Linked DNA regions of Mus musculus: region 1 is reported to be linked to region 2. Evidence: microRNA targets listed by miRTarBase, many of them from high-throughput screens and not tested one by one. Region 2 holds a microRNA gene; the other region holds the end of a gene's coding sequence.
What was found. Region 2 holds the annotated microRNA mmu-miR-325-3p (UUUAUUGAGCACCUCCUAUCAA, at 2,892-2,913, opposite strand). A microRNA usually pairs through its seed, bases 2 to 8, with sites in the 3' UTR of a target mRNA and lowers its output. Matches are read on the target gene's strand: a 7mer-m8 pairs with bases 2 to 8, a 7mer-A1 pairs with bases 2 to 7 and ends in A, and an 8mer does both.

Region 1: miRTarBase lists Rinl as a target of mmu-miR-325-3p. Seed matches in the 3' UTR shown: 8mer at 1,956-1,963.

What each region holds. Positions count from the first base shown.
Region 1 is chr7:28,796,980-28,801,372 of GRCm38, forward strand. Rinl (Ras and Rab interactor-like) reads left to right here. Exons shown (of 12, transcript NM_177158.5): 10 at 131-262; 11 at 581-744; 12 at 831-1,986. The coding sequence ends at 875. Among named protein-coding and RNA genes, the nearest start is that of n-TKctt24, 5.1 kb to the left of the region's middle.
Region 2 is chrX:105,376,214-105,380,606 of GRCm38, forward strand. Mir325 (microRNA 325) reads right to left here and starts at 2,966; the gene lies at 2,869-2,966. The region is part of intron 4 of 5330434G04Rik (RIKEN cDNA 5330434G04 gene); the gene reads right to left.

The DNA of each region.
Region 1 (4,393 bases), not on the chromosome of region 2:
GTGGGTACCCACGTCCAGGGAAAGGGTAGCCCCCTTTGGTAGCAGGCGCCCACTCAGGCCTGGGGACCTGAAGGGAAGATGTTTGTGTGCACCCCTGCCAAACTAATGACCCGTCCTCTGGCTTCCTTAGAGCCCCTGGGGGCTGACGCCTTTTTACCTGCCCTGACCGAGGAGCTGATCTGGAGTCCACATATTGGGGAAACACAGCTGGATGTGGAGTTTCTTATGGAGCTCTTGGATCCAGGGGAGTTGCGAGGAGAAGGTGAGCTCCCTCTTCTGAGATGCCCAGACACTGAGAAGAAGGCAGGTGCCTTTGATGAGCCCCAGCTTCATGTGCCTCAAAAAGAGTGGGCACTCGCCGGGCGTGGTGGCGCACGCCTTTAATCCCAGCACTCGGGAGGCAGAGGCAGGCGGATTTCTGAGTTCGAGGCCAGCCTGGTCTACAAAGTGAGCTCCAGGACAGCCAGGGCTATACAGAGAAACCCTGTCTCGAAAAACCAAAAAAAAAAAAAAAAAAAAAAAGAGTGGGCACTCAGAGAAGCCCAGTAGGGCTATGATGACCTCATTTTCTCTCCCCCAGCTGGGTATTATCTGACCACGTGGTTTGGGGCTCTCTACCACATTGCTCACTACCAGCCAGACACTGGCCGTGCACCCCAGGGGCTCAGCTCCGAGGCCCGGGCCTCCCTGCGCCAGTGGCATCGAAGACGGACACTGCACCAGCAAGCCCAGCCCACAGCCCAGGTAACCACCTATGCTATGCAGATGCAGGTGGAAGGGGCGGTGGTCTCTGATGCCCCTTTGACACAGCCTCCCATTTCTCCCCACAGGCCAACCAGCCTTTTGAGGAGCCATGGGCAATAGGGGACCCATGAAAACTGGAGTTCTCAAACCCCAGTCACTTCCGAACCTTTTGACCCACTCCTCTGCTAAGCAAGATTCTGGAGGCATCTGGGTCAGCATGGAGGGCAGGGCAGGAAAGGAGACGTGCCTCCTGCAATGTCTTACTTCCTCCTCCTCAATTCACCTCCTTCGGGTCTGTCCAGATGTTACCTCAACGAGGCGCTCCCCAGCAAACAAAACCCACACCCAGACAGTACTACAACTACAACCCTCTCGCCTGAATCTCTTTGGGGCAGGTAGAATAAAGGCACCGTCCCCAAAGGTGTCTTCATCCTGATCCTATCTGTGACTGTGACACTTAACTTGGTCAAGTGATCGTTACAAAAATGACAGCATGTCTGGACCTGAGATGGGAGCTTATTCTGGATTCTTCTGCAGCTCATGTAGTTAGGAGGGTGGCAGAGGTACAGGGACCATCATGAGCTTACGCCTCCAGCTATACAGCAGAATGAGGTGGAAAAAGTACTTGAGGCCAAGACCATGAGGACACTGTGGCACTGAAACATAGTAGGTGTTTAGGAACACCTATGTGCCTTGAAAACATATCACTGCCCTAATCTCTGTGACCGTATTTGGCAAAAGTGTTTGTGCAGCTATTATTATTATTTTTGTTGTTTTGGTTTTTCAAGACAGGGCTCCTCGGTGTAGCCCTGGCTGTCCTGGAACTTGCTGTGTAGACCTGGCTGGCCTCGAACTCAGACATCAGGGATTAAAGGTGTGTGCCCCCACCACCCAGCTCGTTCAGCCATCATTGAAGATGATAAAATGAGGGACAGTGCCCCGGGGACTGTGTCTGTGACTCCAGGAGCACCCACGCCATGCGGGAGACAAGGAGAACGAACGGATGGGAACAAGAGAGACGGGAGATGCTGGGCTACTCCAGGAAAGCTTCTCCCCACTGCCACCCCCCCTCTGAGAGCTGCAGAAGTCATGGGGCCCTGCTGTCAACCTGGTTTCTGTGAGATTAGTGATGTCAGAACTCTGACCTCCAGAATTGTGAGCAAATAAATTCCTGCCGTCTTAAGACACCAAGGTGGTAATAATAATAATAATCAATAAAATTTAAAATGTACTGACGAGCAATGGAGGTGCAGACCTGTAATCCCACCAACATGTGAGGAGACTGAGGCCCGCCTGGGATGCCCGAGGCCCTGCCTGACTCAGCAATGAAGCTCTTACCTAGAATTCGCAGCAAAGGGCTGTGGGTATGGCTCATCAGCGCGGTGCTTGCCTAGAGGCCACTGTTAAAGAGCTGGAGTGTGGCCTGGTGGTAAAGTATGTGCCTTGCATGCTTGAGGCTGTAGTTTTTATTACCATCAACACACACACACACACACACACACACGCATGCCCCAGTGTACGTCAGTGTTGGAGAGCTGTCTTCATTAACAGCACTGACTATTCACCTAGAGAACCAGGATTCACTTCCCAGCACCCACACGGCAAATCCCAAACCATCTGTAACTCAAGTTCTCGAGTTCTAAGCACCTGAGACCCTCTTCTGGCTTCCACTAGCATCAGACACACATGTGATACACAGACATTCCTGCAGGCAAGGCACAGTATCTTTAAAATATAAGTGAGACCATCGTAAGTTAGTGAGTGTGCATAGTAAGTTGATAAAGGTATCTGAGTGTTTGAGTTATAGGAATCATCCTAGCAAGTTAACTAAGTCCACTGGCCAGATAGACGGTTTATTACCTGAAACTCAAGACCGGCCCCGAAGCAGCAGAAGTTGGGTGCATCCTGTAGACCCAAGCTCATTATCTGTAGGATCTGAGGCTAACTCCAGATAGTGTCAGGATCGGGTTAAATTATAGGACACCCATCTTTATTGGCCAAGGGAATTTCTTGATGTATGTGTGGGAAAACCTCCACACACATCTGGTGTCTGAAGTGTGTGAGTTGTGTGGGAGTGAGGGAAATGTACCTTTTTTTTTTTTTTTTGAGACTGGGTGAAGCTCTGGCTGCCCTGGAATCTGCTCTTAGACCAGGCTGGCTTTGAACTCAGGGATCTGGCTACCTCTGCCTCCCAAGTGCTGGGATTAAAAACATGCTACCCCTCCAAGGCCCCCCCAACCCCACCTCTTCTATTTTATAGAAAAACAAGGAAAGCTTCATGCAGGTGGATTGGACAGGGATGCGCGGCACGTAGCAGAAGAGGAGGCAGCCAAAGAAGAATCACGTGGGCCACATCTGTATGTGTGGCTTGTTGCTGTGATGACACCGTGACCAGAAGCCACCGGGGGAAGGAAAGGGTTTATTTTGGTTTAAGGTTCTAGAAGACTCCGCCGTGGAAGGGGAGGCATGGCAGGAAGAGTACACATCTTCAGAAGAAGATGTGAAGAGATCACATCTTCAGCCGCTCACAGGAAGCACAGAGAACAGGAGGGAGGGGGCAGGTTGAGAAGCCTTGAGTCCTTTCCTTAGTGATAAACTTCTCCCCATAAGGCTCTGCCTCCTCAAGGGCCTGTAACCTCCCCAAGCAGTGCCACCAGCCAGGGGCCATGTGTCCAAACACCTGAGCCTCTAGGGACATTTCTCATTCAAACCACCACCACACCAAAAACTTAAAAATTCTAAACATGCATGCCTGTCATGTACCACAGCATTTAGAAAGCAGAGGCAGGAGGATTCCTTCTAGTTCTAAGTCAGCCTGGGCTTTGTAGGAAGACCCTACCTTCAAAACCAAAGTAGATTTGGGAGATGGCCCACTGGGCTAAGTGCCTACTATACAAGGACCTGTGTTCAGGTCCTTGGTGTGGCAGCAGGTACCTATAACTGACTCACTGGCCTGCCAGTCTTGCCAAAGCAGCAACTTCTAGATTCAGCAAGAGACTCTTGTCCAAAAAAAAAAAAAAAAAAAAAAGGGGAGCTAGAGAGATGGGGCAGTGGTTCAGAGCACTCGTGTTTTTGTAGAGGACCCAGGTTCTATTCCCAGCACCCACATGGCAGCTTACAACCTTCTATAAGTCCAGTTCCAGGGGATCCAACACTCTTCTTTTGAGACAGGGTTTCTCTGTAGCCCTGGCTGTCCTGGAACTCACTTTGTAGACCAAAAAAATCCCAGCACTTGGGAGGTAGAGGTAGGCCTCGAACTCAGAAATCCGCCTGCCTCTGCCTCCCAAGTGCTGGGATTAAAGGTGTGTGCCACCACGCCCGGCCCAACACCCTCTTCTGACCTCCAAGGGCACCAGGCACACACATGCAAGAAAAACACATAAATTGATTAAATGTGGTGCTGGCCAAAAAGAGAAAAAAAGTAACAGGTTCTGCTGCCAAGGTGGACAGACAACTTGAGTTTGAAGAGGGCAGAATCAACTCCTGGTCCTCTGACCTTCATATCTGTGCCATTGGACGTGTGAACATAAACACACAAATATAAATAAAATGATGTTTCCAGGAGGCGGTGGTACACGCCTTTAATCCCAGCCAGCACTTGGAAGGCAGAGTCGATCTCTGTGAATTTGAGACCTCTCTGGTCTACAGG
Region 2 (4,393 bases):
GCTGAATTCCAATATTAAAAATGAAATTGCAATGAACCACAAAGGAAAAATAACTCTTTTGTATAGCCATACATATACATAATTTCCTCAGTTCATAGTAAATGAACTAATATAAGCACTTATAGGATGTAATTGAAATGGGATATTTCTTTTAAAATAAATACCCAGCTGGCCTGAAATTCCAGCTACTAGTGAGACTAAGGCTGGAGGATCACAAGTTCAAGACTTTTTAAAACTACCCATGGTGTTCAAGTTAATGAGCTAACTGGTTTCAACAAAATGTTACTCAAGGTATTTAGATTGCAATGGCGGATAGCTTATCTGGAATGCCAAGGCCCTAGTTGCATTTCAGTGCTCCATGAGCTATCTCTCCAGGCCAGGAAAACATTTTAGAAGCTCCTTGACTCATCTTCCAAAGACAATCGATTTTCCAAGCATATTCTAGCTAATCATATGCCTTTTTGAAGGCTTCTCCCCTGCCAGATTTCCTTCACAGCAACATGTAATTTTCACAGCATGTCAGAATCACCAAAAAGCTAGACACACAGCAGTCTATTTCATATACACAGGAACCAACTCCCAGGAAGAACGCAGCAAGTGCTTTGAGGATCCAGAACAAACTTCAAAAGTATACAATCTATAGTTTATAGTCTACGTAGATAAAAAAAATAGATATTTGACACTCTTTATATCTGTATCTTCATCAGAATGGGTTACAAAGATTTGAGTTCTAGTATGATTTTGCTTTGTGAGTGTTTACTTAGTACTAAAGTGTTTTCTTAATGGTACTAAAAATGGAGCCTATGGCTTTACACATGTTAATTGAGCATTTTACCACTGAGCACCAACAATTATTATAATAATGATTTGTATATGATCTGAGGGTACTTCACAACTTTATATGTTGACATTTATTTCCCTCATAATATATTAAGAAGATATAAAACTAATTCAATGATGCTGTTTAGACGCAAGGCCTATAAGAAGTGACTAATTTTAAATAAGGCCATTATGGTGGGGCTCTCCTAGTTGAATTCTGGTATATTAAGGAAAGAGGGAAGCTACATAGTCTTACACATGCTCCTTACCCCTTGTCACATGATTCTATGTACAGCCTTGAGACCGTGGTTGCAAAGTCAAGGGACCTTGAGCTAAAGTCGTCTTTAGTTTATAAAGCATCTTTTCTCATGTATTTCATTACTCAATGGTAAATGGATTAAATATAGATACTTAGACTTTACAATGCTGTTTCTAAGTACTGAAAGAATTCATGCAAATAAATGTGTTTAAACAGAGCCTTCCATGGGATCAGACTATATATATAATAGCTACTGTCAATACTATAGCTATTGTCTGTTGTGGCTCCGGATAATGTTACTGTGAAAGAAAACATCTTAAGAGTTTCTTGAAGCTACTCCATGTTTTCTGTAATTTTTCCTCAAAGGTTTCTCCAAAGATGAGAATGTCAGCCACTACTCTTTCTCAAAAATACCACCCCCACCAATTGTTAATCAAAATTGTACCTCAAAAACTCTTTTGGACACAAGGAAAACGTGCCCTCCCTGCCTGTGATTCCTCTCACAACATTGCCCAAACAAACTGTTTCACATGTCATTATCACTACTATTCTTGTATAGATAAAGGAAAGACATGGCCCGATCAGCATGCACCACACTCTCTAGGAATTAGCCTAGAATATACTACAGCCATTCCTTTGTATGATTCAGTTTTTCTTCACTCCTAAGCTTCTCAGTGCTTCTGCAGAGTTGCATGTTACTGACTAGCCACAGACAATGCATTACCTTATTCTGATAGCTAGGCCTTTAGGCAACTGGGACTGCTGGAACAGGCTGTACAACATAGACACTGGTTGATTCCCATTGTAGCTGGAGTCTTCTGTCCCATTCCTGTAAGAATACAGTGAGGAGGAGAAGCCAAGCTCACAGGTGCTCACTTCCTGTTTCAGGTAATGGGCAGCTAGGATATTTATAGACTCCAACCAGCAAGTTTTGTCACGGGTATCTGCTTACTTTCTCCCAAACATTAATCCCCCTCAAATGATCCTGGACTCCTGGTGCAAGTCTTTGTATAATCAGATGGATTTAAACATCCATGGGAAATAACCAGAAATGCCTAACTCCTTGGTTCAACTATCATAACCTCTTCCTACACCACTTATTCACATCCTTGGTCATACTCAGAATCTTTTGTCATTCCAAACTACCACACCTATGCCATCCTCTATTTGTACACCCTACTTTCTGGCTGCTTCTGCCCCAGTAAGGCCTTTTCTTTGTTTCCATCACTTGTATTTTAGAACTGTTGGTTTCTTCTCATTTGTCAGACTCATTCAGCATAATTACCTTCTCAAACTGGCCTGGGACCTGCAATTCATTGTTGCAATCACTGCCCTTTGCTTACTCTTAACTTTCTCCATCATCTCCTGGTATCACCTGCAAGTCCACGCTCTGATGCTTCAGAAGAGTTCTTTTGGGGATCCTGGCCAGTTTCCACCCTCATCCTCTTTATAGCCTCGAACATGACTTTCCATTGCTCACTGCCTTAACCCTTGAATCTTCACCCTGACCTCTCTAATGGGAACATGATGCTCAAGTCTCTCATATTTAAGGTCAAGCTTCTCAGCCTTACCTCTCTATTTGCTGCCCCCTTCTCTCCTTTCCTTCCTAAGGTTTTGGAATAGATGGAGCATATTCACTGCCTCTTCCCACAGCATAATTTGCTTCTGTTTCCTGGGCATACCCTCTTATTCCTATCAGTATTGTTGTTATAACTAATCACTCTACTATAGCCACTACTAGCAATAAGAGCCTCAAAAGGGAGCATCTTGTCTAACTTAGCTATGTGGCCCCAGAGCCTAGCACAGTGCTTGATTGATAGGAGGTGCTCAATAAACGAATTATGTCACAAACACTTACTGAGCACCTACTAGGAACCAAGCACTATATCGGCTCTGTTAGAATCCACAACACTTGGCCCCTAGTCCATCACAAAACCCACATCCAAGAACCATTGATTTTCACAGAAACCTTCTCTCTTTGTGAATGCCCACAGCCACTGCTCTGTGCTGTACCCTCCTTACAACAGGCATTCAACTTTTTTTGAATAAGCCTGATAAAACCCAGCAGAACCCAAAAGACTTATTTGAAGATTTGCTTATATACATGGCCATGTGTATGTGTGTTATGGGATCTGATAGCTGACAGAGGGCTTTCTGACCAGCTCGAGGGCAACACATTCACTTGCAACCCTATCTTAACCCAGCTAAACTTTACTAAGCTGCTGCATGACCTCTCCCTGACCCTTTCTTAAGGTTCTCTCAACAAATCTTTGTTTCTAGGTTTTTATCCTCCACCTTCAAACCAGTGAAGAAGGTCTCTTGCTCTTCTACTTAACAGTATGAAGAAATACTAACACTAGAAGTACTGTTGACTTTAGGATCTCACTTCATCCGGTATGCTTCCCTTTGCCATATGGAAGCTACATTTGCTAACTCCACTTCATTCTGCCAGTTGGATCCTATGCCAGTGGTCAGTAAGGATAGAATGTGGTTTTAAATGGTCAGGGAAAGGGTTTGTGGACAAGATCAGGGACACTTTGTGATTATAGTTCAACATATGGAAATGTTCTGGATAAAAATGAAGGTGTGTGTGTGTGTGTGTGTGTGTGTGAGAGAGAGAGAGAGAGAGAGAGAGAGAGAGAGAGAGAGAGAGAGAGAGAGAGAGTTTTCTTGTTGGAAGCAGGCTGCAGTATATAATGCAATATCAAAAGGTACAAAACTGTCTAAGTGTTCTTCTTACTCCTACCAGGTTCTCTCCTCTCAGAGAGTGATCAATGTTTCTTCTGTGCCCTTCTAAGAATGTTGTATACATATATAAATATTGGCACACCTGTATTCTAGTCACTGACTTAGCATAGTCTAAAACACCATGAGCAGAATGAGCTGATATGCGTAGAAGTGTTAACAAAGTAGTGAATACTCTCTTTCATCCAATATACCCTACTTAAATCTCAACCACCCTTAGTAGCCATTCCCAACTTCTAATCATCAGTTTTTGGGGTATGGTCATAGCCTGTTTCATATACATTTGGTACAGCTCTATGAATTAATTTTCCCCTTATCTGTCTTTGCATTAGAGTTAGGCCAATTAATAATCCCTGCACCTCCACTGTAGCTAGTTTGAAAAATATTTTTACCTACAACTACTTCTAACCACTTCCATCATTCATTTGTAACTCTAGCTCTATCTTTCATGTCCACATCGATTCTCATGGGCAAGTCTGGGATTTGGAATGAATGCCTACCTAACGGCCTCAAGCATATTAGGTAAAATTAAATGGCCTAAGTACTATAGGAGTTCACTAGTACTTAACA